4 linked regions of the Drosophila melanogaster genome follow. The protein of the gene in region 1 purifies or fractionates together with the protein of each later gene. This does not show direct contact. Each region holds a gene or a part of one and is shown in the gene's direction. Other genes may lie near its edges. The genes, in order: Vajk2, hmw, CG4962 and Cpr62Bc.

Region 1 (4,540 bases):
CTTCACATTAGTAAAAAAAAAACAAAAACGACTGGAAAAAAAATACTGGCCACAAAAGAAGCGCCACGCCGGGCAAGGCCTAGCATTTATGTAGTTCAACTTTGACTCAGTCTTTGCCACCAATTGTGATGCTGATGATCGTGGTGTTGATCATGGCGATGATGTCTGGCGACCTTCGCCTTCAACTGCACATTACAAAGCCTAATACGCTCGGTTGCCATTATGTCCGCGGCGTTATGTCCACAATTAAATTAATGCACATAAAACCAACATGATTTGGTGCCCGTATCTGTTCTCCTTTGTGCGCGTTTTGCGGTCCACTCATTGTTCACACGTTCCATTTACATGGCCATTGGCGAGTATTTCCTCTGCAGCATTAAAATGTCAAATTACCCACACTGCCACAGCATTCAATCAATGCACCCATATCAAGGCTTAAAACGCCGCTCAGCCTGGCCAAAAAGCTGAGAAAAAAAAACCGAAGCAAACAAGAATACGGAGCCAAACACAAATCCGAGATCAAAAGTTCAGTCACGAAGCCACACAGAATCAAGCAGACTATGCGGCGCATGTTTCTTCTGCAGCCAAGCAATTTACATTCAATATGCAACTGCAACTGCAACTGGATTTGTAACCTGAAATTTTCGGAAATGTGTGGCTAATGTGAATTTAACTTATGGCTGTGGAACACTTTGCCCGTTGTGTCTAATTTGATTATGTGACTGAAGTGCTCGCGGTCAGTTATTTATTAATGGCTCAAGGCTTTGGGGCAAAAATTTCCCAACACTAAGGACTAGTCAAAATTATGCATTAGAAAAGTATTTGTGATCTCTTTTTTAATGTATATATTTTTTAATAATTATGAAGGTTTCGTTACCAGCCAAAAATTACTCATTTATTTATGGTCCATAAATTTTAAACTCTTTATGTTCATTTTTAACTTTGTTAATATTTAATTTTTAATTGAATAATTATTATGTTTATAATTAATGTTCTTTTCGAATGTGTTGATTTCCAAAGATTTATGTAAAATGGTAAGAAATACAAGTAGTTTATTTTATTTGTCGTGTTCATTAATGTAATTTTACCTGGGAAACAAACACTAACACTTCATGTATTTATGTGAGATTTTTACAAAAAATATATTAATAAGATATATTTGTACAAAGGGAAAATGATAATATAATAATGGCTACATATAACAATACTAACTGCGCAAAAAGACGTCGGAGGAAGGGCTCCGATCTAAAATTACATAAACTTTCTAAGGACTTTTAAAGCTGTTTACTAAAATTTTAACAATACAAAATTTATCACTTTTCGAATATTCTAGAAACAAACTCTGAGACTCTAAAACTCTAAAGTCGTTGATTAAAATTCATACGTATATGATTAAAAAAGTCTATATTGTTTGAACTGTACAATTAAGAGCGATTCTCCAAAAGAATTGATTGGATCTCTTTGGTAGATTAAGGCAAAATTAAACGAAATTACCCATTTGCTATGTTTGTTATGTTGGCTATTGGCAAGAAACGATTCTTTCTACTAAACTGTGCCCCCAGTTACTTGGTGTCTGAATACTTTCAGTAGTTCCCAAAGATCGCTACAGTTGGAGCTCGAGTGTTCACAGATACGCACTCATACAGGCGCAGATCACACGGACAACATGGACACTGTCCGTGTGAGGCACCCTCTTTCGAAAAAGCTCGCTTGCTGACGCATTTCCTTTGGGCCACGGGCTCACACGGACAGTTGGCCAAGAGAGAGAGGAGCTGTCGAACGGATGGAGAGCGAGCTTTTTCAACACGGCTGCTGCGATCTCGATTCACGTCGACTGCGCAGCCGCGGCTGAAGACAATCCCGCCACAGCATCGGCCATATAAAAGCTCGCTGCGTCTGTGCGAAATTATTCAGTTAACTGTTGCGGGTTGGTTGAGACATACAAGCCCATCTTGATCGCAAAGTGTTGAGGAGCTAACCTAGTGCAAAATGAAATCCATGGTATGTTCGGTCTGAGCTCAGTGTGTTCTCCTTCGAAGTGCTGCTTAGAATAATTGTGTTTCAAAAACTCGGATTCAGTTAAAGTGACTTGCAAAAGAATATATATATATATATTTATGGAACAATGTAGACATATCGGTGTTGCAATTAAAGTATTTTTAAAAAGGTTTTTGCACGACTTCATCAGCTCTTTCAAAAGCAAGGATAGAACGGATATTCTAAAATGTCTCTAGATATGTTACTTTTTTGTGGCATTTTGGTTTACCCAAGTAAATATGAACATGGTTTTAAGAAAGGATTTTTAGAGAGAAAACTAATTGAAATATTTAATTTTTCCATTACCAGTTCTACATTTAAATCTTATTGAAAGAAATCACATTTCATAATTACTAAAATCGAAAAGTGTTAAGGATCATTTTAACCCGAAAAGGATAGGCAGTCCTAGAATATGTTTTTAGCATTTAAAAAAGAAAACAAAAATGTAGATTCGTATTAAAAAGCTTTGAACGCGAAACTACAAAGAGTTGAATTTGCCTTCTTCCAATTTGTATTTTAACCGAATTATTGCGAAAATATCAAGCCACATTAAGTATACGCCGCATGCCCAATATGTCAGGGGGCCTAGGCCACAATTGAACTTGGCTGGTTGCCCAGCCAACTTTCCACCCAACATTGCATAATTGTCATATTCCAAATTATGGAGTAATCGGGCGGAGGTGGAGCCGGAAGCGGCTGCAGTTGCATAACCGCCCGACCAAGCCAATTGGGTTTCTATCGAATTTAACCCACTTGTCATTGCAGCTCATTTTCGGCCTTGTGGCGATGTGCGTGCTGGTGGCCAACGCCAGTGAGGAGGCACCCAAGAAGGCCGTCGAGACCGCCGAGCCCGCCGAGAAGAAGCAGGAGAAGCGCGGCATTGGCCACGGTCTGGGCTACGGATACGGACCATCGGCGGGAGGCGCCATTCTGGGATCCGGCATCGGTGTTGGAGTTCCAGTGGCTCCCGCTGTCGCTGAGCTGCCCACCCAGGTGCACACCAACACCGTGGTGAGGACCGTGCAGGTGCCCTACCAGGTGGAGCGTCACGTTCCCTACCCCGTCGAGAAGACCGTCACCTATCCCGTTAAGGTGCCCGTGCCCCAGCCCTACCCCGTGGAGAAGATCGTCCATGTGCCCGTCAAGCAGATCGTGAAGGTGCCCGTCGAGGTGCCCCAGCCCTACCCCGTCGAGAAGGTGATCCGTGTGCCCGTGAAGATCCCAGTTGATCGTCCCTACACCGTCCATGTCGACAAGCCATACCCCGTGCCCGTGGAGAAGCCCGTGCCATACACCGTCGAGAAGCGTGTGATCCACAAGGTGCCCGTCCATGTGGAGCGTCCAGTGCCCTACAAGGTGGCCGTGCCCGTGCCTGTCCACGTTGAGAGCCACGTCAAGCCCGCCGTGGCCGTCACCCACACCGTTGCCGCTGCTCCTGCCATCATCAGCCACGGCTACTCCGGACACGGAATCTCCGGATACGGAATTTCCGGACACGGAATCTCCTCCTACGGCAGCTCCTCCTACGGCGGCTCCGCCCACGGTGGCTACCTCCACAAAAAGTAGATGAAATCGCAATGCTGTCGAGGGCCAAGCGAGAAGTGAAGTCGGGTGAAGGCGAGCGAACCAACCAACAAGTCGAAAGTATCCAACAGACATTAAGAATCAAGCACCCCTCCCTCTCTTTCCACGCCCAGCAACCGCCAACGTACGACTTACAAATTTAGTTTTAGTTTGTGATACCAACCGAAATTCTGGAAGGATCGGAACCAGGAGAAAATCACACAACTGACGCAATCCATTATAGAAAGCTTGCCAAAACCCATCCGGGGCGTTTGAAAAGTGCCTGTCTCCTGGCATCCAAATCCATCGAGTGTACAGTTCTTTTGTAGACAATCACAGAGAAATAACTGCTGACGAGTTGCTCCTTCGACTTTTTCACGTAAATTTCTTTTCTATGAAATATTTGTACATATTTAAATAATGTAAATAAAACGAAAATTAAAAAAAAAAAACTTAAGACTTGTACTTTCAGAAATACTGGGCTTTCCATTAAAAAAAAAAAAGATAGAAGTTCGATAGGATATTTTTAAGGTATATAGGGTATTTTCACTTAATGAGCCTTTTGTTTAAGCTGAAAGCTTAATTTGTATTGCTGCATTGCTATTTTGGAATAAATACATTTTTTTACAGAAGTTATATATCTGTCAAGTTAAAACGTAGCCATAAAGGACTACATATTATATATTTACATATTATATATTTATATATAATATATATATATATTATATATTTATGGATATTTATTAATTTTTATGAGGGGGTGTGGAGTTACTCTTAAGTGGATTAATACAGCTTATTTTAGTCAAAGGATATTCCCACAACTATGCAATGATTTATTTATTTATTATAAATTTTGGGAATTATTCTGAATTGCATTACAGTGCGTCAAGTAATTGTTCGCAAACAATGTTTTTAAAACTGTAAATTTAGTGAGTAGGCC
Region 2 (6,714 bases), on another chromosome or scaffold:
AGCCCCAAGTCGAAAACGAAGTTTTGCATACCCTTGAAACTCAGCCAAGTCATTAGTTATGTTAAAGCCAAACGAGGGAATATGTCTAAATCGGGTTATCCCCTTTACATCAAAGTAAATTTGATTAACTTCAGTCTTTCCTGATCTAAGTTTACACATATCTTACTTTAAAAAAACAGATATCTATAAAAAATTCAGTAGCCTATAAAAAAGACAAATATCCACTCAAAACCATACCAAATATACACGTTTATTTTGGTTAACAATTAAAGTAAACTGAAAAAGTAGCCTATAAAAAAGGCTAAATGGTAAACTTTATCGTGTTTCGCTTTCACTGAACATTCGAGCCACAACCGCAAAATGATTTAGCGAGCAAAAGCAAAGTTTGTTGCACGTAGGATGCATCAATTAAAATGATAATAAATTTATTAAATTCATTTCCTTCAAAAAGTGATGACCGTGCTATTTAAGTTTTATGTTTTATATTTTATTGTTTTGTCGTACAATTTGTTTGAGTAAAAACATCCGGCTGCAGAAGTTAACAAAAAACTAAGTAAATAATGTGGTTCGTAAATCGATTGAAAAATCCGACGGCGATTCACTATTTTTTCTGTTATTCAAAACAATTTCGCAACACATCTGGTTTACTTATTATAGCTATTAAGTTGATTTTTAAACGCTGTGCTATTTGTTTAAACGCAGTGCTATTTCTATCACAACTCTTCGCAATTACAGGGTATTTGGCGGCTTAACGGATGTGTTTCCATCCACCCATGGCCAAGCCGATCCGTGCCAAGACTTGCGGATGCCGGAGCTGGAGCTGGAGCTCTTGGTCTAGCCGCATTGACTGCGGCTCTTGGCCGGGTTGGTGGATTCGAGTCGGAGATCTCAGGTTGTAGGTTGCAGATTGTGGGTTGTGGGTTGGCGGCTGCGGCTGTTTGCTGGTGTCGTGTGGCTGCGCCTTTTGACCCACCTAGCCGCCCCCGCAACCCCCGCGGCCGTCACAAGCTCTTAGCCAAATTGCTGCAGCCCGAAAAGAGAGATGGGGCGCGGAAGAGAGAGGGAGAGCGAGCGAGCGAGGAAACGGAAATAACTTGTAAACTTGCGGCACGCAATTTGCAATTACTTAGGCGACTGTTGCAAAGGAACATCAACCAACGCATGCAAAGGACAAAGGCAAGAGCGACTGCCAAAAAGTGAAACTTCCCTCAACTATTTGCTATTGATTAAACAACTAAAACGGCAAATGGAAGCAGAATTTGCGTATATGCCGTATACACCGTATGTTGCCGTTATAAAAGCTGGTCAAGATTGCGTATACGCCGCTTATTCCACTCTTGCGCTTGATTTTACAAGCCCATATTGCGTATACGCCGCACGTTCCACTCATTTTTTTCGTAAGCGTTTTTAAAGCCGTTGACGCTTGAAGGGCTTGTCACCGGTTATTCAGTTGGCCTAGTTGTTGACTTTTCTTAGCCACGCTAATTACCCGCACTGGCTGGCCAGTCGATGGGCCAGCAAACGATTTCCGCTACGATACCGTGCCACTTCATTCACGCACTCCACAAACACAGGCACATGGCACGCTACACACTTGCTGGTTTGCTCTGCCAATTTTCCCGTTGCGGGCCACAATTTTCACACACATCTATCACGGTTTACGCGCGCATTTTCCGGCTCAGCAACACGCCCGCACGCCACGAAGCTTCTTGGCCAAATGAATTGCCCGCTGGCCAACAGCAGCCGCTTCGCTCAAAGCGAGGAAATCCAGGGGGGAATCGTACCCACGAGGGGGCCACTCTCAACGCCCATGCGCACTGCCTTATGGCCACATGACTCTGGAGAGGATTTGAAGCAGCGATTCGGGAGCACTGCCATCGCCGCTCGCAATATTTACAATTTGCAACTGGCAGGCGGCGGATTTCGACGCCGCTTCGCCTTTCATTCAACTGTCAGATTTCGTGAGAGTCACTCAGAGAAAATACCCCGAGAATGGAGTCGCTGGGCGAGGGAGAGAAAGTGCTGGAGCGCAAGTTCCTGACCACAGAGGCGGCGCCACATGGAGCTAATGGGGATTCTTAATTGTTTAAGATATTTGAAAATGCATAGCAGGAAATAATGGTTTAGTTTACCAAGTAGAAGAAATAAAATCACCAAGATATACTAACTATTATAGATATATGTATGGATTAATATTTATTGTTCAGAGTTTATTATTGCACTTTATAATACATTTATGACCAAGTTAGAAAATCCAATCTTCAATTTCAATTTCCTAACTTTTAATCCATTAAGCATATGAATCATTGGGCTTTAAACTTGTAATTCTTAAGCTAGTGGTTAAAAGTAATATGGTCTTGAGAAAAAAGAAATATATAAACACAAATCAATATTATATATCCGGCAAAAAGTTCTAGTGTTCGCAGCTTAAACCCGGTGCTTAAAAAGTAAATCCGCTATATACTTGCTGAATAACTTTTGTATTATTTCAATATCACTTTATATCAATTTCCAGTGCTGTTGGTTAATTTATTCAGTGTTTTCCATAATTAACGCAACAAGAGCCGGCAAAGTGCTGCTGAGGCAACCAACAACAAACCGCCTGCGCCTGCTCTGTTGCCCAGGACAACCGCTGGCTAGAATAAATAAATTCCCAGGTGTCAAGTGGTGGGTGCTGCGACGAGGGGTTAGCGGTGGGCATGCGGACTCCGCTCACCTGAGCTCCAGTCGACGGTTGGCAGCGCCACCGCAATGCAACCAAGGAGTCAAAGTTGAGCCAAGAAGCGCGGTATGCGCCCAGTTTTTCCAACTTGGGGTAGACCGGAGACGGAGGAGCACCTGCCCCAATGTGGGCGCAAAGGTGTCAATCATAAGAGCGCATCGAAATGGCTGCAAAATCAAACTCAGTGAACAAATAGCAACTACTCAAGCTGAAATCAAAATTCAAAGTTTGAAAGGCCTAGGAGTTTCGGCAGTTCTCAGTACAAACTAAAGAAAAACACACGGGTGACAACGCTAATACCCCAAAAAAAACAAAATACACTACAAACGACGAAAGGAACTTAATCAGAGAACCGACGAAGAATAAGCATACAGGATGTCGGGGGCTGGAGAACACTCAGATGAAGAGTCCTATGGAGAGGAGTCCTTCGAGGAGGACTCGGAGTCGGAGGTGGAGGTGGAGGAAGAAGAGATTGAGTATATTGAGCCAGAGGAGTCAAAACCAAGTGACGCTCTTCTGTTGGGGGAGAGCGACACCCAAAGCGAGAGCGATGTGAAAGAAGAGTTTCTTAGCGGCAACGTAAGTCCTCCTCACCAGGAGCTGACTATTTCCGAGTTCAGCCTTAATCCGCAACCTGCATCGCGCCCACAGCCACACGCCCGTCGCTATTTGGGCGCCCGAGTGGTGTCCTACCTGAGTTCCTCCTCTGACGACGAAAGCCAAGTGGTCATCACCAAGACGGTAGCCGAGGTAAATCAACTAAGTCTGCGAGTGGACACGCCTCCGGAGGATGAGACGCCCTCGGTGCGCACTCTGATGCCAGGCAGTGCCCATTCTCGGGTTAAGGATGAGGACGAGGCTGAAGACGAGGATGATGACGAAGGTGATGGCGAAAATGATAACGATAATGAGGACGAGAATGATGACGAGGATGCTGAAGTCGAGGAAATCGAAGAAGAGGAGGAAGAAATTCCAGGAGACGAAGACGACGCCCAAAGCGATGGATCCATGGGTCGTCAATCCGCCGACGACAGCGACGAGGAGGAGGGCACGGATGTGGAAGTGGAGCAGCTGGAGGAGGACGAACCAATTGTAACAGCTGTGTGCAAAAAGACGGTCCAGAAGGAGTTACCACCGCCCCAGAAGGACATTGTTTCGCTGGTCGATGCCAGTGATAACAGTAGTGAGCACAGTGTGGTCACCATGTGTGCATCAGGAGACGAAACAGACAACACCTTGGTGAAGTATCCTAGATTACGAAAGCAGGTAAATAATGGATTAGATAATATCTCACTACAGATAATTAAACACCTACTCACAGCAACCACTTACTGCTAAGGATTCGCAATCGCTAAAAGAGCAGGAAGAACCGGAAGAACCGGAACAACCCGAAGAAAATCAAACAGAAGAACACATGCCAACATCACAGCCCGATCTGGCGAGGGTTCGGTACCTGGAGCAGCAGATGACCCAAATGTCGGAATTGATCATGAAGTCATTCCAGATCAATGGAGGAGCGCCAAATAGCCAAGCCTTCGAGCAGCTTGCCATGGCCACGGAGATGTTGCAGCAACGAAGTGACAGGCGCGGGGACACTGAATCCGAGATGTCATCGATGACGGAAACGACTATGACCAGTGCTAGGAGCTTGGGTGGAGGAATTCCCCCCCTGACAATGCGGATGGAGCGTTCTCAGGAGGCACTACTCACGACGCGATCTTCCAAGCTACCCAGACCCAAATGCAGATGTCCCTCGGAATCGGATTTAATTGAACACGAGCAGAAACTGGATATGGGTCACGAGTTGCCCCATGACCTGGCAGCGAACTTCGGCTTGGGCGAAGGCTACCTCGTAGACGAATGTGGCCAGGGCGACGGACTCATGAGGCATCCACAACAGCGCAAACCAATGGAGTTAAACAGGCGAGCCGTTAGCGGAACTCCAAGCACCTTCAACAGCGACGGTTGCGAGTATCAAATCAATGTGTCGCGTTCCCGCTGCTCTAATGATAAGATTAAGTAAGTAACTTATAATACTTATACACTCTATTACATATAATTACATCTGCATAGCTATAAAAACCTTGGGCGCAAAAGCTTTAGCTTTACGAATCCCCAAGTGCGCGAGATCGAGCGCCAGAATCAGATTCTTTTGCGCAAGATGATGACTGTGAAGCCCACGGCGACGATCAAGGCTAGCACCAGTAGCATAAAGATCAATGGGCCCGAGAAGGTGAGTACATAATATAGAACTTATGTCCAATATTAAACCTCTTCCTTAACAATGTCATACAGCGACAGACACCTCCAGCGCCACGACTGTCCAGCGCAGCTGTGAACCGGAAGAAGAATCAGCGCCAGATCGACCTGGACAACGATCTGCTCAAGCGGAAACTGGAGGCCATCGGCACACGGCGACCGCAATTCAAGTGACGCCTCCACAGGCAGCTCCAACTGTGTTCATTAAGTAATTAAAAGTGTTTATGCGAATTTACAAAATTAAAATTTATTGCAAGTTGAAAAGTGTAAAAAGCTGTATAATCTTAATATAATTTTAAGGGAATTTATAAACCAACTAGAATTCATGCAAAAATGTATAGTACTAGTAAAATTTCGTTCCGATCAAAGTCAATGCATCAAAATGTGTTTATAATTTGTACATTTAGGTATAAACAATTCTATAAATGTTATCGTAATCAATAATCGAATTGGATAGCAATATTAAATTTAACAATTATTTTGCAGCACGTTGGTAACAAATTAAACTAAGAAAAACTCCCGAAAATAAATGAAAGAAGGCGAAAATATTTAAACAGGTAAAAGGAATTAGATGGCATATCTGAAACTTCAAAGAAAAGCTTACAGAGTCACCTCGTTGATCTTGGTCAGAAATGTCTCTCCCAATGCTTTCATTGCTTTAAAGGCAGCATCTCCGTTCTTTTCCTTGAACTCTTCTTCATTTTTAATCTTGACCTTCTCGCGGCGTTCCAATTCACGATAGATAACCTGACCAATCTGAAAAGAAAACTAAGATTGAACGAAATTGTATGGAAAAGTGAATATCAACTTACATAGACATCGATGGCGGCGTACATTAGTTGATTCTCGTCCAGCGGAATGACATGCCACTTGCTCATGCGCACCTTCTTGCTTTTGTCCATGGCCTTCTTGGCTATAAAGTTGGTTAATCGCTCCAAGCTCCAGCGCCCGCCGGTCTCACAGACCTCATTGCACCAAAGACCCAAGTCCACGCATTTCTCTATCAGTGGTTCGGCTGTAACCTCGGGGAAATCACGTGCCAGCTTTCGGAAATCGCTGGAAAATAACAGATTTTATTTATCCAAATGGATTTTTCCTTTGTATAACTAACTTCTTTATGTTCACGCCATGCAATCGCACTTTGGGATGATTGATAAGGGCCACCAGGGCCGCAGGCAGTTTCTTCACATTAGTCAGCTGGTATATGTAGCAGCACTTTTCATCCACGCATATCTGGATGACGGCAGACTTGCCAGGTCCTGTTTGGAAAGAGAAGGGCCACTCCATGTCGAAGGCCATGGGCACTACCTCATCTTTTTGTTTTTCCACCCATTGCCTAAGTTTTGATTTTTAATGCACATTATTAACAAGCAGGAATAAGTTATAGAGTTAACTTACAAAACATCGTCAGCAGATGCCGCAATATCCTGGCTCTCCGTGAAATACTTTATAGCACCCTTGTATTTAATAAAGGGAAGCTTTTCGGGCTTTTCCTTCTCCGGTGATGGAGACCCATCCTCTGCCATTGAACGAGTGCTTCTGGTCAGCCTGGAACTCCGGCGCTTGGGCGGATTTTCTTCCTCCATCGCTAACTTCTCAGTCTTCTATAAAGTTGTTAATGCTTCGTCCCAATATAAACTTAATATATAAATTGTTGCTTACCACATCTGGAGTATCCAGATTTTTTCGCTTGGCAGCCGGTCTACCGGGTCTTCCTTTCGTTTGCTTTGGCG
Region 3 (5,047 bases), on another chromosome or scaffold:
AAACAAACGATTTACGTGCTATGAGCCACATTGCGCCATGTCCCCGTACAAAAAAAAAGAACTTCAAAGCAAAATGAAACCAACTTTGCAAATGATAATTGTTGGCCCAACCTCGAGGCTGAGTCGAAGGTAAAACAGCTCTGGCATAATACAGTAGCCAAGGAAGGGTGGCAAAAGGGGGAGGATGGGATTAATCCACCTTAGTTCACTTTGATTCCATAAATGAAAACACTGCTCCACGTTGGCCAGTGTGTTTTTCTAGAGCTTTTCACAGCGGTGTCTGCCTGACATTTGCTTTATTGAAGGTGGAAAAACAAAGCGTTGATTGGTACCCTAGAAACATAATCACGGAATGATATTTCAGACTCATTAAAAAATACCCACTCGTAATAGTCGGGCTACGAAACGATTTACGGAATGTAAGGAAACTGTATTTATTCTGGAAAATTTCTGATACGATGCTTTGATTTTGGAGTTGTATCTAATACGGTTTTTACAATATTAAGTATACGTATATATTAAAATTTAACTTAAGTTAAAGCTTACTCCACGGATTTGGTATGCATTTATATTTGCAAACTAATTAAAAATAAATACATGAAGGTTTAGACTCACTTTGATCTTAGTGCTGAGGGTTTTCCAGGGTAATTAAGTAAACGCAAATGTGATTTTTGCCAGCCATTGTTACAGTTTTGCACTTGGCTGTTGTCGCTGTTCCTCTTGGTATTAATCATTATAAAACGAGTAATAGTCAGGCTTTGCTGTACACATTGTAATGTGCACGACATTGTGACAAAGGCTGGGGTAAGCACGGCCTTGACCGAGTGGCGTCCAACATGTGGTATACTTAATACTTAATTGGCCACACTCGAGTCACAGCCAGCGATCCGCAGATGGGAGGGAGTCAGCTATGCAAATTGGCCTCCACCCAACCGACAATTATGTTAAACTATAACAAAAAATATATAATAACTCATTGCGGTCACAAGCTGGTCTAATCAAATGCATGTAAGTCGAACTAGTCACCTCTGCTCCATTTGCGAACTCCAGACTTGCGACTTGGGAAATTTCCTTAACCAGAATGGGGCGGACAAATTTCAGGTCCGACTATTTCCCCAGAAAAATCGCATAAATCACGAAAGGAAAAAATATTGAGTTGAGCCACGAGTTGAGTTGGAAAATTGACGGCTTTTAATTTCGACTTTTGAATGATTTGTTGGCAATCAAAGTATTTTGGGCGTCGCTTGGGAAATGCGAATCTGAATCAAAATCGAATGTATGCATTGGATGGACGTTGCTCAATGGCTAGCAGACAAACAGAATGCAATTGGTAGGCCATTAAAATGCAATTACAGGCCACCAGAGTTTGGTGGTCAGCTGCAATCGGAACCAGCACGAATAAAACCAAAAATCCAAAACAACCGAGTGGGTGGCATATTTGGTTTTGTAGCTGCGGATCGATAGATAGCCACGCAATTTGGCATCCTGTTTGGTGTCAATCAAGCCGCCTTCGATTGAGATTTATGCGACAATTTGGTTAGCATTTGCATAACGCCACGGGTCGAAATCACGAGGTGTTGGCTTTGGTGAAGGGTTCGGCTTAGTTTTAGATTCGACTAGCACTAAGCCCCGTTGATATGCAGATTGTCCATTTGGGGTCCAATCAGCAACGATGGCCAGGGTCGCTGAGTCGAAAGAATTGTCGCCATCGTAATTGTTTATTAATTTATGACTCATAAACTTTAAGTCGGTCTTTGTTCGCCCTGAGAGAATTTCGATTTTTATACAACTCTTTGATTCAATACACCGATATTCAAGGCTCAAAACAAGCATTTTGCAATTCTTTTCGAGCCTCGTGTTCTGACTGATCCCGTGATATGATTTCAAAGCTGTTTCAGAATTAAGCATGGCTATTAGGAAATCTGGCAGGCCATTCGAAATGCGGCAAATATGATTTACCTATGTTTCCAATTGACTACGCTCCTTCCACCCAAGTTACGCATACGCCATGTGCGCGATAACAAATCAGTTAAATATTAATGCATGCAAAATATAGGCAAACCAGCTGCCGTCCAGCAGCCACCAAAATGACCAACTGCACCAATCTCCACTCTGTGTTTGTCAGTTATTAAAGTGAGTAATTTTTCATGGACCACTTGAGTTTATTTGCTGCGTGGAGAGGCAGCTCCGATTGATCATTTGCATCTGGACAACAACATTTTCCACACCTACGGATCTCTATATCTCTAATGAGCTGTCAGTCAGTCAGTCAGCTGATTGATAATAAAGTGCGTGTTTTCGGTTTTAGAAAGGATTTAGGCAGATATGCTTAATAGGCTTGCAGGCTTATATTTAAATAATTTGAACACGTGAATTCAACGGTTTTGAATAAAACACAATATTCATAGATAAATTTAAGTGCTCTTTCAAAGGAAATGTTACTTAATGGCCAATTTAGATCACTGGAATAATTGCAAAATTACTAATAGGCAAAACCAGATTTAGCCGTAGAATTTTCTCAGCTGGAAACCCCCAGAAGACAATTGTTCATTTCCACGACGAAATGAATGGAAATATAAAAGTTTCCGTTAGAGCAAAAGTCGCCGACAATAGCTGACGAAAAAAATACAAATTGAATTAAGTGCTCGTGGTGGTTCTCCATGAAAATCTTGGGGATTCGGTGGCTAAAATTGGCGGTGGCTCAGTGGCTCAAGCCAAAGCCGCCGCGTGACTGATCTCTTTCGCGATCTGCTGGTCGGCAAATGCACAAAGCTTCGGCTCTCGGCCGTCGAAAGGGGCGTGTTGGCTCTCCCTCTCCGCCGCTCTTTGGGCCAAGATTTGTCAGAATATTTCTCATGTTGCGGGTATAAATAACAGGGCTACTTGAGACGTCTAAGCATAACACATTCAGCTCTTCGGTCAAGAAGTCCAAACAACACAAAACCAGCAAAATGTTCAAACTGGTAAGATCAGGATTAAAGGATTACCGCTCGTATGAAGTTAACATAGAAGTTTCTTTTCCGCAGATTGCCCTCATCTCTGCCCTGTGCGCCGTGGCCAATGCCGGAGTAATCTCGCCCTACAGCCATGGATATGGACTGGGATACGGCGCCGCCTTGGCTCCGGCTTATGCCGCTCCGGCTGTGATCTCGCACGCCCCGATCATCAAGAGCTACGCCGCTCCCATTGTCGCCCACCCGGTGGCCACCTCCTATGCCAACACCTACAAGGTGGCCACCAAGGCCATTCCAGTGGTCCATGCCGCTCCTCTGGTCCATGCCGTGCCTGCTCTGCACTCCACCTCCACCTACCATGGATCCTATGGCGGCTACGGTAGCTACGGTCTGGGATACGCCGGCTACGGACACGGAGCCTACCTGCACTAAGGATCTGGATGTCGGAAAGGATACCAGCCCCCCGTTGACGACCCCGATTGAAGTGAGAACATTAAGCGGATAATTCGCATTTTGCTGCCGTCAAAGTGTTGAATTTGCATTTCGTAGTCAGAAGCGGAAATACAAATTGTGTACAAAATCCCTCAAAAACCCAGACACCCACTTGGAGACAGAGACAACTAGAGAACTAAGGACAACTAACGGGAGGCGGCGAGAGCGAGAGAGATTGATGAAGGATCAAGTTTCGTTGATTTTGTTATTATGGTGCAACTCCATGCATTGTGGCTTCATAACATTTTGTAAATAAACGATAAATGACTCTTTAAACGAATATGATGGCTTATTTCATTTACTGGTTGCTTATATATGTTAGTTTAAAAATATTCACTTGAAATTATGACGGATGGATATTTAAGATCCATATCCAAATATGCCTTACTACACACAATTCAATGAAATCTTTACGATACCTAACGTTTTGGAAGCAATATGAATTTTCAGAGTAATGTGGAAATATTTTAATTTGCCGTTTTAACACACACACATTTCGCAATGTAAGCCACTTAACTCAAAACTAATTGTTAAGGGGACAAATGTCTATTTATGAAGTGTGGAATTATTTTCAATTTAGTTTAGTTGAGCGTGAAGTGATCAGTTTTATTCGCATTTATAAGGATTCCAGATAGTATTGCTAGTTCGTAGATGCGAGCATTTCACAAAAAACTGCTTGTTCAATGATTTTCAACTGCGAACTTACCCCAACCATCCGATCGCCATTCAGCATTCAATTGCACTTCAAATTAATTTTACTTGAGCAACTTGCTCGATTCATATCGACTCCCGTCGGGTGTTTTGAAACTTGCAAGGAAAAAACCAAATACCAAAAAAAATTGTTTTATTGCAACGCCTTGCCCGGCCCACCTGCTCACTATACCCCCCCCCCCTCCTCTAACAATTATCATTGCGGGGAAACGAAAGACTCAAGCGACAAACGCGTGCGCCTGTCAACAGGTTGACCAGTGAAAAGTGCGTTGAAATATCTTTTTATTAATGGCCGGCCAACTGTCGCAGCTAAATGCTTTTCGCCCAGTTTCGCAAATGAAAAATGGGAGCACATCAACAGCTGCTGAAAAGTGAATTGAGTCACTTAATTACCTTTTTAACGCCGGCCAGCTGATCCTGGACCGAAAATACCAACTATAATTCATGCGAAAATTGAAAAGTCGTGTATTGCGCTTTGCCGGCGGCGTAATGGAAATCAATTTACGATTTTACTTAATAAATGTTATCTCGCCGAGTGAAAATCATAAGATGATGGGTGGGGTTGCTAAATATAATTCATATCGCCCATAACAATAGGCCATTGTTGGCAGCTCTTCGACCTTGACAGCCATACAACTCAATTGTGCCCAGCTATAGGTTTAATTTGTCTCAGTTCAGCTCGGCATAAATTATGTCCCCCTGTTCATAAACCATGTCGTAGTTATGGGCTTATAGCTTATAAAGACAGCAATACCGTTAGCTAGTCAAGCGAAAATTCGGCAAACGACCTTCGATTATTTGCAGACAAAAGGTGGGCCACAACTTCTGCTTCCTACATCTCCCAGGCCATTGAATATTCATTCGAGCTCGTCGGTTGACACTAAGTGGAT
Region 4 (6,200 bases), on another chromosome or scaffold:
TCGCTACCATCAGATCGTATTGCGCAAGGCATCTGACAGAACGAAACTCAAAATCAAACGAATGACTTGGGCAACGAACTTGTTTCGCATATTGCGCACACACGACCGCAACAACAATGCGAGGAAAAGCTGCAAACATTTGCCACTCAATCAGCAGCCGAACAGCTAGTGCAGCTAAGGCAACGCACACAAATTGCTTTAATTACAACAAATTTGTTTGAATATATATCAACTTGAGCTGAGTCCAAGCGCGTGCACTGCGAGAAAAAGGTCTTCCTTTAAGGCTAAAATCACGACTAGTACAAATTCCTAAGAGGGCTACATTACTTGCCATTAGAAATTCCGGGCTTGTTGTACTTAAAACCTCTTATATTTTCTCGCAGTATAGTCTAGGTAAATACTCTCTAACACCGCGAGTCACAGTGACTATTCACGTCGTGCACCCGCAGCTAAAAAAAATATGGCCAGCTCGGCGGCTCTCCACTCGTTTGGACACCACTCAAGTGGCCAGAGACTCGGATCTCGGATCTTGGTGCGCTGACATGACGAGCCAAGATCGGGCCAAGATTATTGCAACTGCTGCTGGCCACTTGGGCGTTGCGATTCTATGATTCTGCGAATCCGGCTGCCGACTGCAAAATGGGTGGTCTCTGGAACTCCGCGCCTGACTCATAACTGTTAAGATATATATTTGCGCCCATGTGGAGCGGATCTGTTGCACGTACTCAAATCTGAGTTTCAGCGGAAGGGGTGAATAATTAAATCGAAAAGGAAACGCGCAATGTGGCCAAAGAGTTTCGCATTCACGAATTCGTAATTGTCATTGTTGGGCTTAGTCTAGTCTAGTCTACTATAGTATAGTCTGTTTAAACTGGACTTGGTTCTGCCGCGGTGAGTGGCATATGATTGTTCAAGGAATTTCCACACATTTAACTAACGGGTTGGTGAATACCTAGGAAACGAAACCGCGTATCAAGGAAGTTGGTGGAACTGGTTTTGCATTGCATTGTTATATTAGAAGTTGTAATAAAATTTTGAGTGGCTTGAAACGATTGTTTATCAGGGATATTCTATCGACACAATGCGAACCACTGATCAGCCCTACCTCTTCCCAAATATGGCTCAATCTTCCATCAAAAGGCAATCAATTACAGCATTTTTGCTCGAACCCAATCGAAACCTAGTTTTTCAAAGTCTCGACTGCAAAAATTCAATTAATTGGCCACGACGGTGCGTCATTTTCCGCAAACAAAGGACGCAATCAGATCGTGCTCTAATTCAGGCAAACTCAAAGATGCAGTTTGAATATTTAGAGGGGTATATCATAAAGGGGGGATGGGAAACTTTAAAGAAATATAATTAAATTCTAAGGAAGCTCATTGTCTACTTACTTACCAACTAACCATTCCCAACTGCCCATTCTACGAAAATCAACATGTGTAAAGTAATCTGGACTAACTTTCGGATAAGTAAACCCTCTTTTTTAACTACGCCCCTGCTGAGATTAAAACTGTTAGTGATCCGTTACACGTCGTTTGCTGCTGTGTCGTGCTAACCTTGAGATGATTACTTCAATTTGTAGTACGCGATGGCCAGCCTGGCATAAATGGTGGCTCAGAGGGGGGGGGGGGGGGGGGGGCACCAAAGGGGGAATGTCAGAGCCGAGCTACTAATTCGAGACAATTTATTAAATGAGTCGAAGCAGGGCAAGTACGTAGCATAAGCCTGGCGCAAATATGCCGTAAAACAAAGCAAGGCAGCCCTCAAAAATATGACAAAACCAAACGCTTTTGCTTTTTTACTGTTCGTAGTTTTGGCCTGGTAATGAGTTGGGGCTGAACTGGCGTCTATTTTGGCCATAATGATGTGGCGCCACGCTGCGCCCCACTTCAAAGGCGTTTCTACAGCGTCTTCGGGTGGTGGCCTCCCCATAGCACACCCCTCTTGTCTTTCCCAGATGGGTTTAATAAGCAAAACGGCCTACATGGCAATTAAAAAAGTGTCAGTAGGAACAACAGTCAGTGCACTGGAAAACAATTGAAGAACAAAGCCACTTGCTGACTTTAGTTAAAAGTATTGCAAAAATATCTCAAGATTTATGGGATTTCATGAGTCAGTAGCTCGTTTTAGTGGAATGATACCACTGATGTTTTACTAAGACTTCGAAATTAATCTACAATACCTCAAACCATTTTTGGCAGTGTACTATCACATTAACCAAAAGATTTGACAGACGACGCCCGCTGCAAGCAAAATAAGGCACAGAAAACGTAGAACATAGAAAACTTCGACTTGAAGCCCACGAAACAGACGAGCGAACAAATTGCAACATGCAACAGAAAAAAACCATGGGGATTTTCAGGAGGGGGCTGCAACACCGCCGCCCACCGAAATGCAATTTTAACTTATTTCAGCCATTGTCTTTTTATTTCATAAATATTTGTGTTTACGGCTAATTTTATTCGTGCGCGAAGATTGTTTTTGCTAGGTAGTTTAGAGCTTGCAAAGGCCATTTCAATTAAATCGTGATGGGAGATGGTAATATATAGATAGCCAACTTTTTTCCGATCATGATTTCATAATTAATACGCCTTAATAATGGCCAATTTGATATGTTAATACGAGTATTGATTTCAGCAGATAGAACTCGCATTAAGTGAGGTTTTCCCTTCCATTTCACAATTATTTCGACTTCGATTTGCATACATCGCCGGTTATCTCAGAAATCAGACAATTTCCAAAGACAAACCACAGCCAGCCAACAGTCGCTCCACATCTGAACTGAACTTCACTCTCGTTTTTTTTCGCTGAAAAGCATTAAATAATTGTGAATTGTTGGTGGGGAAGGGGGGGCGTTGCAGGGGCGTTGTGGGGGCCTCAACTTCTTGGGCTTCGCTCCGCAAAGCTCGGCTTTGGCTGGTATTTCATTGTAGTTTTGTTTTTGCCCCTGCTGACCGACTGGCATTCGGCTTTTTGTGACTCGGCTCGGTTTGGGCCGCTCGGGCGTTGTCTTGTATATAAAAGCGGCTTCCTTCTTGGTTCTAGTTATCAGTTGAATCCAGCTCAACGTACAGCACACACTCGCGTCTGCAAGAAACAAAATCCCAAAAATCCAAACAATGGCATTCTTCAAAGTGAGTGAACAGGACAGCCCTGTGACAGCCAAAAGTGCCCTGTGATCCAATCGAAATAGCAAACTAATAAAACAAACCCCTATCCCCTGTGATCTAGTCCCTCATCTGCCTGGCCGTCCTGAGCGCCGCCTCCGCCGGAGTCCTCCACGGACATGGTGCTGGTCTCTACGCCGCCGCCCCGGCCATCTATGCCGGCCATGGTCACCACGACGAGGGAATCGATTACCATGTAAGTGGGCAAGATAACCCAAAAAGGATTAACTTTCAAAGTAGCGCATATGAGGATTACTAACTCTTAAAGAAAATCAATGTCCTACTATTGGAATCCATTTGACTTGTTTAAAACATACATTTTGAAAAGCTTCCTCTTAATTGAAAATGTGCATCATGAGTTTATTGCTCTTTTAAAATCAAACGACTACAATACCATCCAGAGCTAAGAAATGCATGCATCTTGACTCATAAAAATTACTTATACGACACGTAATCCCTCCCGCAAACATTACTCATACGACCTGTAAGCCCGAAAAAGTTATACAGCCTACCGGCTGTTCATGCAATCATAAAATTATACTTAATATGCCCTAAAACTGACACCATCAGTCCGCACAACCTCTCACCCACTCCTCTGTGGATGCTGGTGGCCCAGGGTCACTGTGGCATTTGCCATTTAGCCATTTTCCCACGCTAGCTTCATTAGCATGGCCAGCTGCTTCGAGTGGCGTGTGGCATGCACATAAAATTAGCACCCAATCCTAGCAGGCCCGTACTCTTCTCATGGAATCTTTACGCCAATCCGCAGGCCTACCCCAAGTACCACTACAACTACGGAGTGGCTGACTCTCACACCGGAGACGTGAAGTCGCAGCACGAAGTGCGTGATGGTGATGTCGTCAAGGGATCCTACTCTCTGGTGGAGCCCGATGGTTCGGTGCGCACCGTGGAGTACACCGCCGATGACCACAATGGCTTCAACGCCGTCGTCCACAAGACCGGCCCCACTGTGCACCACGCCGCTCCCGCTGTGGTTGCCCACGCCGCTCCCGCCGTGGTCCATGCCGCTCCGGCCTATGCCCCAGCCATTGCCCACCATGTGGCCGCCGCTCCCGCCGTGCCCTACGCCGGATCCCTGGCGCATCAGGTGCCCGCCTACGGATACGCCACCCACAACGCTCACGCGCATGTGGCCCACTACTAAGGAAGTGGAGCAGTCCGCTGGATGCACCACCTGAAGCACCACCTGCACCGCTAACACCACTCTTCTGTAATTTATTAAGCACGTTGACGACCTCACAAAACGGCTGATCGATCCACTGACGAAGCCTGCTAAAATACTCAGTACCACAGTCATGTCCATCATGTCCTGCCGTGGATTCCCCGGACTTTCCCGGCAGCCTCTGTCTCCCTCACACACACACACACACATTGCCGTCTCTGTCTCAGCTTTCGCGCAATTCTCTCTTTTGTTTGTTAATCAACCTTCTCTTTAATTGTAAATAATGAAAACATCGAGTGAGGAACAAACGCCCATCCTGCCACACGCCCACGAAGAAGAACCAACCTGAAAAGATGAAGAAAAACGAACAAAATGTAAAAAAAAATAATAAAAAAAAACACATGTATTATAATAATTTTGTGTATACTATAAGTTTGAAGCTGAAACGGCTGACAATGCTATAAATACAAAATGTAGAGAATTATAAAAATTCAAATATTTCGTTTTTTTACTGCACAGAAAGGAACTGAAAACATAGATTGATCTTTAATTTGATTATTCTGTTTTATCTTACAATTAATTAGTTGATTGGCATTTCTGATCAGAACACATTCACTTTCAAATTGATTCCAAGTATGGGTAATTATGGTTTCCATTAGTTATGAATGTTATGGAAATTGATGGGTAGAGAGCACTTCGTCGAGATCACGCCACTTGATTGACAATAATCGATCTGGCTAATTTGTGGGCGTGGAGTGAAAAAGGTGAAGGTAATCATCGGCGGTTGATTATCATTTGATCCGCCAATAACCAGTTGGTGTTTATTAACTGATTATTTATCTGCAGAAGAACTATGCCATCTGTACTCTGGCAAGACGTGCGCTTTCATAATAAGATTCGCATCAGCATTCATATGAAACTTGAAGCTTAAATATAAAACTATATATAGCCTTATGTATCTGGAATTTGCATTCATAGAGTTTTCTTAATTTCCGATTTAAGGATATTTCACCAGATGCACTACTCGAACTCATTAAATGGGCTTTCTTTAATATTATTTTGTAGAAAACTTTTGGGCATTGATTTCTTAAACAACTTTAAACTACGATTTCAAATTGATTTTTGAAGGCTTAGAAAAAAATAGATAGATGATGTGTGCTTTTTGGCTGCTATAAACAAGACTTACAGTCATAGACTACTTTCAAGCTTAATAAAAACAATATGAATGCTACAAGCAACTATGCCACTGTATTTTTTATTGAAAAGCCATTTTAAACATTTATTAAACTTTATTATTACTATTATTTTACTACTTATATTATTAGTTATTAAATTAATTATTTAGTTAGTACCTTATAGATATGTAGAATTTTTTAATAAGGGTTTCATACTAAGCATACCTTTTTATTGGCTTACAAATATACAACAATTTCCCTAGAAATGTATCCTTTCCAATAGACACTTTTTTAATAACACATAACAAGGTCGATTGATGCCACCGCATTTTGCCTATCCACTTACGCACTTTTACTTTTGTGGCCGTTGGAAGCCACCGCAGAAGGGTGCCCACGGTGGAGTTGCCCCCCAGTGCGGTCACAAGTTCGGGGGCATCTCTCCAGCGAAGACAATAAACAAATAAAGCATAACTTAAAACATTTAAGTCACAAGAGATGAGTGTGTGGAGGCTTCCGCATGCAACAAATCTTCGCATTTCCGTCACATTTAACGTGCGAACAAAACGAAACAAAGCCAAATATTGATCTCTTAATGGGCACAACGTGGTTTTTGGTCTACACTCTAGACAAATGGCCAACGATCAAAACAGAGACGTCGGGAAAATGGTGCAAAAG

Evidence for each region.
Region 2: the proteins of Vajk2 (region 1) and hmw purify together in Drosophila melanogaster (affinity purification with mass spectrometry, with the first as the bait; one large-scale study listed by BioGRID). This does not show direct contact.
Region 3: the proteins of Vajk2 (region 1) and CG4962 purify together in Drosophila melanogaster (affinity purification with mass spectrometry, with the first as the bait; one large-scale study listed by BioGRID). This does not show direct contact.
Region 4: the proteins of Vajk2 (region 1) and Cpr62Bc purify together in Drosophila melanogaster (affinity purification with mass spectrometry, with the first as the bait; one large-scale study listed by BioGRID). This does not show direct contact.

Annotation. Positions count from the first base shown.
Region 1 is NT_033779.5:13,932,059-13,936,598, reverse strand, and holds Vajk2 (Vajk2), read left to right. Parts: upstream 1-1,906; 5' UTR 1,907-1,989; coding exon 1,990-2,001; intron 2,002-2,802; coding exon 2,803-3,603; 3' UTR 3,604-4,040; downstream 4,041-4,540.
Region 2 is NT_033777.3:18,359,029-18,365,742, forward strand, and holds hmw (hemingway), read left to right. Parts: upstream 1-2,965; 5' UTR 2,966-3,097; coding exon 3,098-3,301; intron 3,302-3,373; coding exon 3,374-3,988; intron 3,989-4,043; coding exon 4,044-4,741; intron 4,742-4,795; coding exon 4,796-4,955; intron 4,956-5,017; coding exon 5,018-5,155; 3' UTR 5,156-5,249; downstream 5,250-6,714. Other genes in the region: WRNexo (WRN exonuclease), read right to left, coding at 5,582-5,737, 5,794-6,037, 6,093-6,317, 6,380-6,585, 6,644-6,714. UniProt on the Drosophila melanogaster protein: Involved in assembly and/or maintenance of motile cilia. Required during spermatogenesis for axoneme elongation. Necessary for optimal function of the chordotonal (hearing) organs.
Region 3 is NT_037436.4:16,293,388-16,298,434, reverse strand, and holds CG4962 (uncharacterized protein), read left to right. Parts: upstream 1-2,887; 5' UTR 2,888-2,951; coding exon 2,952-2,963; intron 2,964-3,026; coding exon 3,027-3,386; 3' UTR 3,387-3,724; downstream 3,725-5,047.
Region 4 is NT_037436.4:1,838,924-1,845,123, reverse strand, and holds Cpr62Bc (cuticular protein 62Bc), read left to right. Parts: upstream 1-3,039; 5' UTR 3,040-3,119; coding exon 3,120-3,134; intron 3,135-3,231; coding exon 3,232-3,363; intron 3,364-3,936; coding exon 3,937-4,332; 3' UTR 4,333-4,843; downstream 4,844-6,200.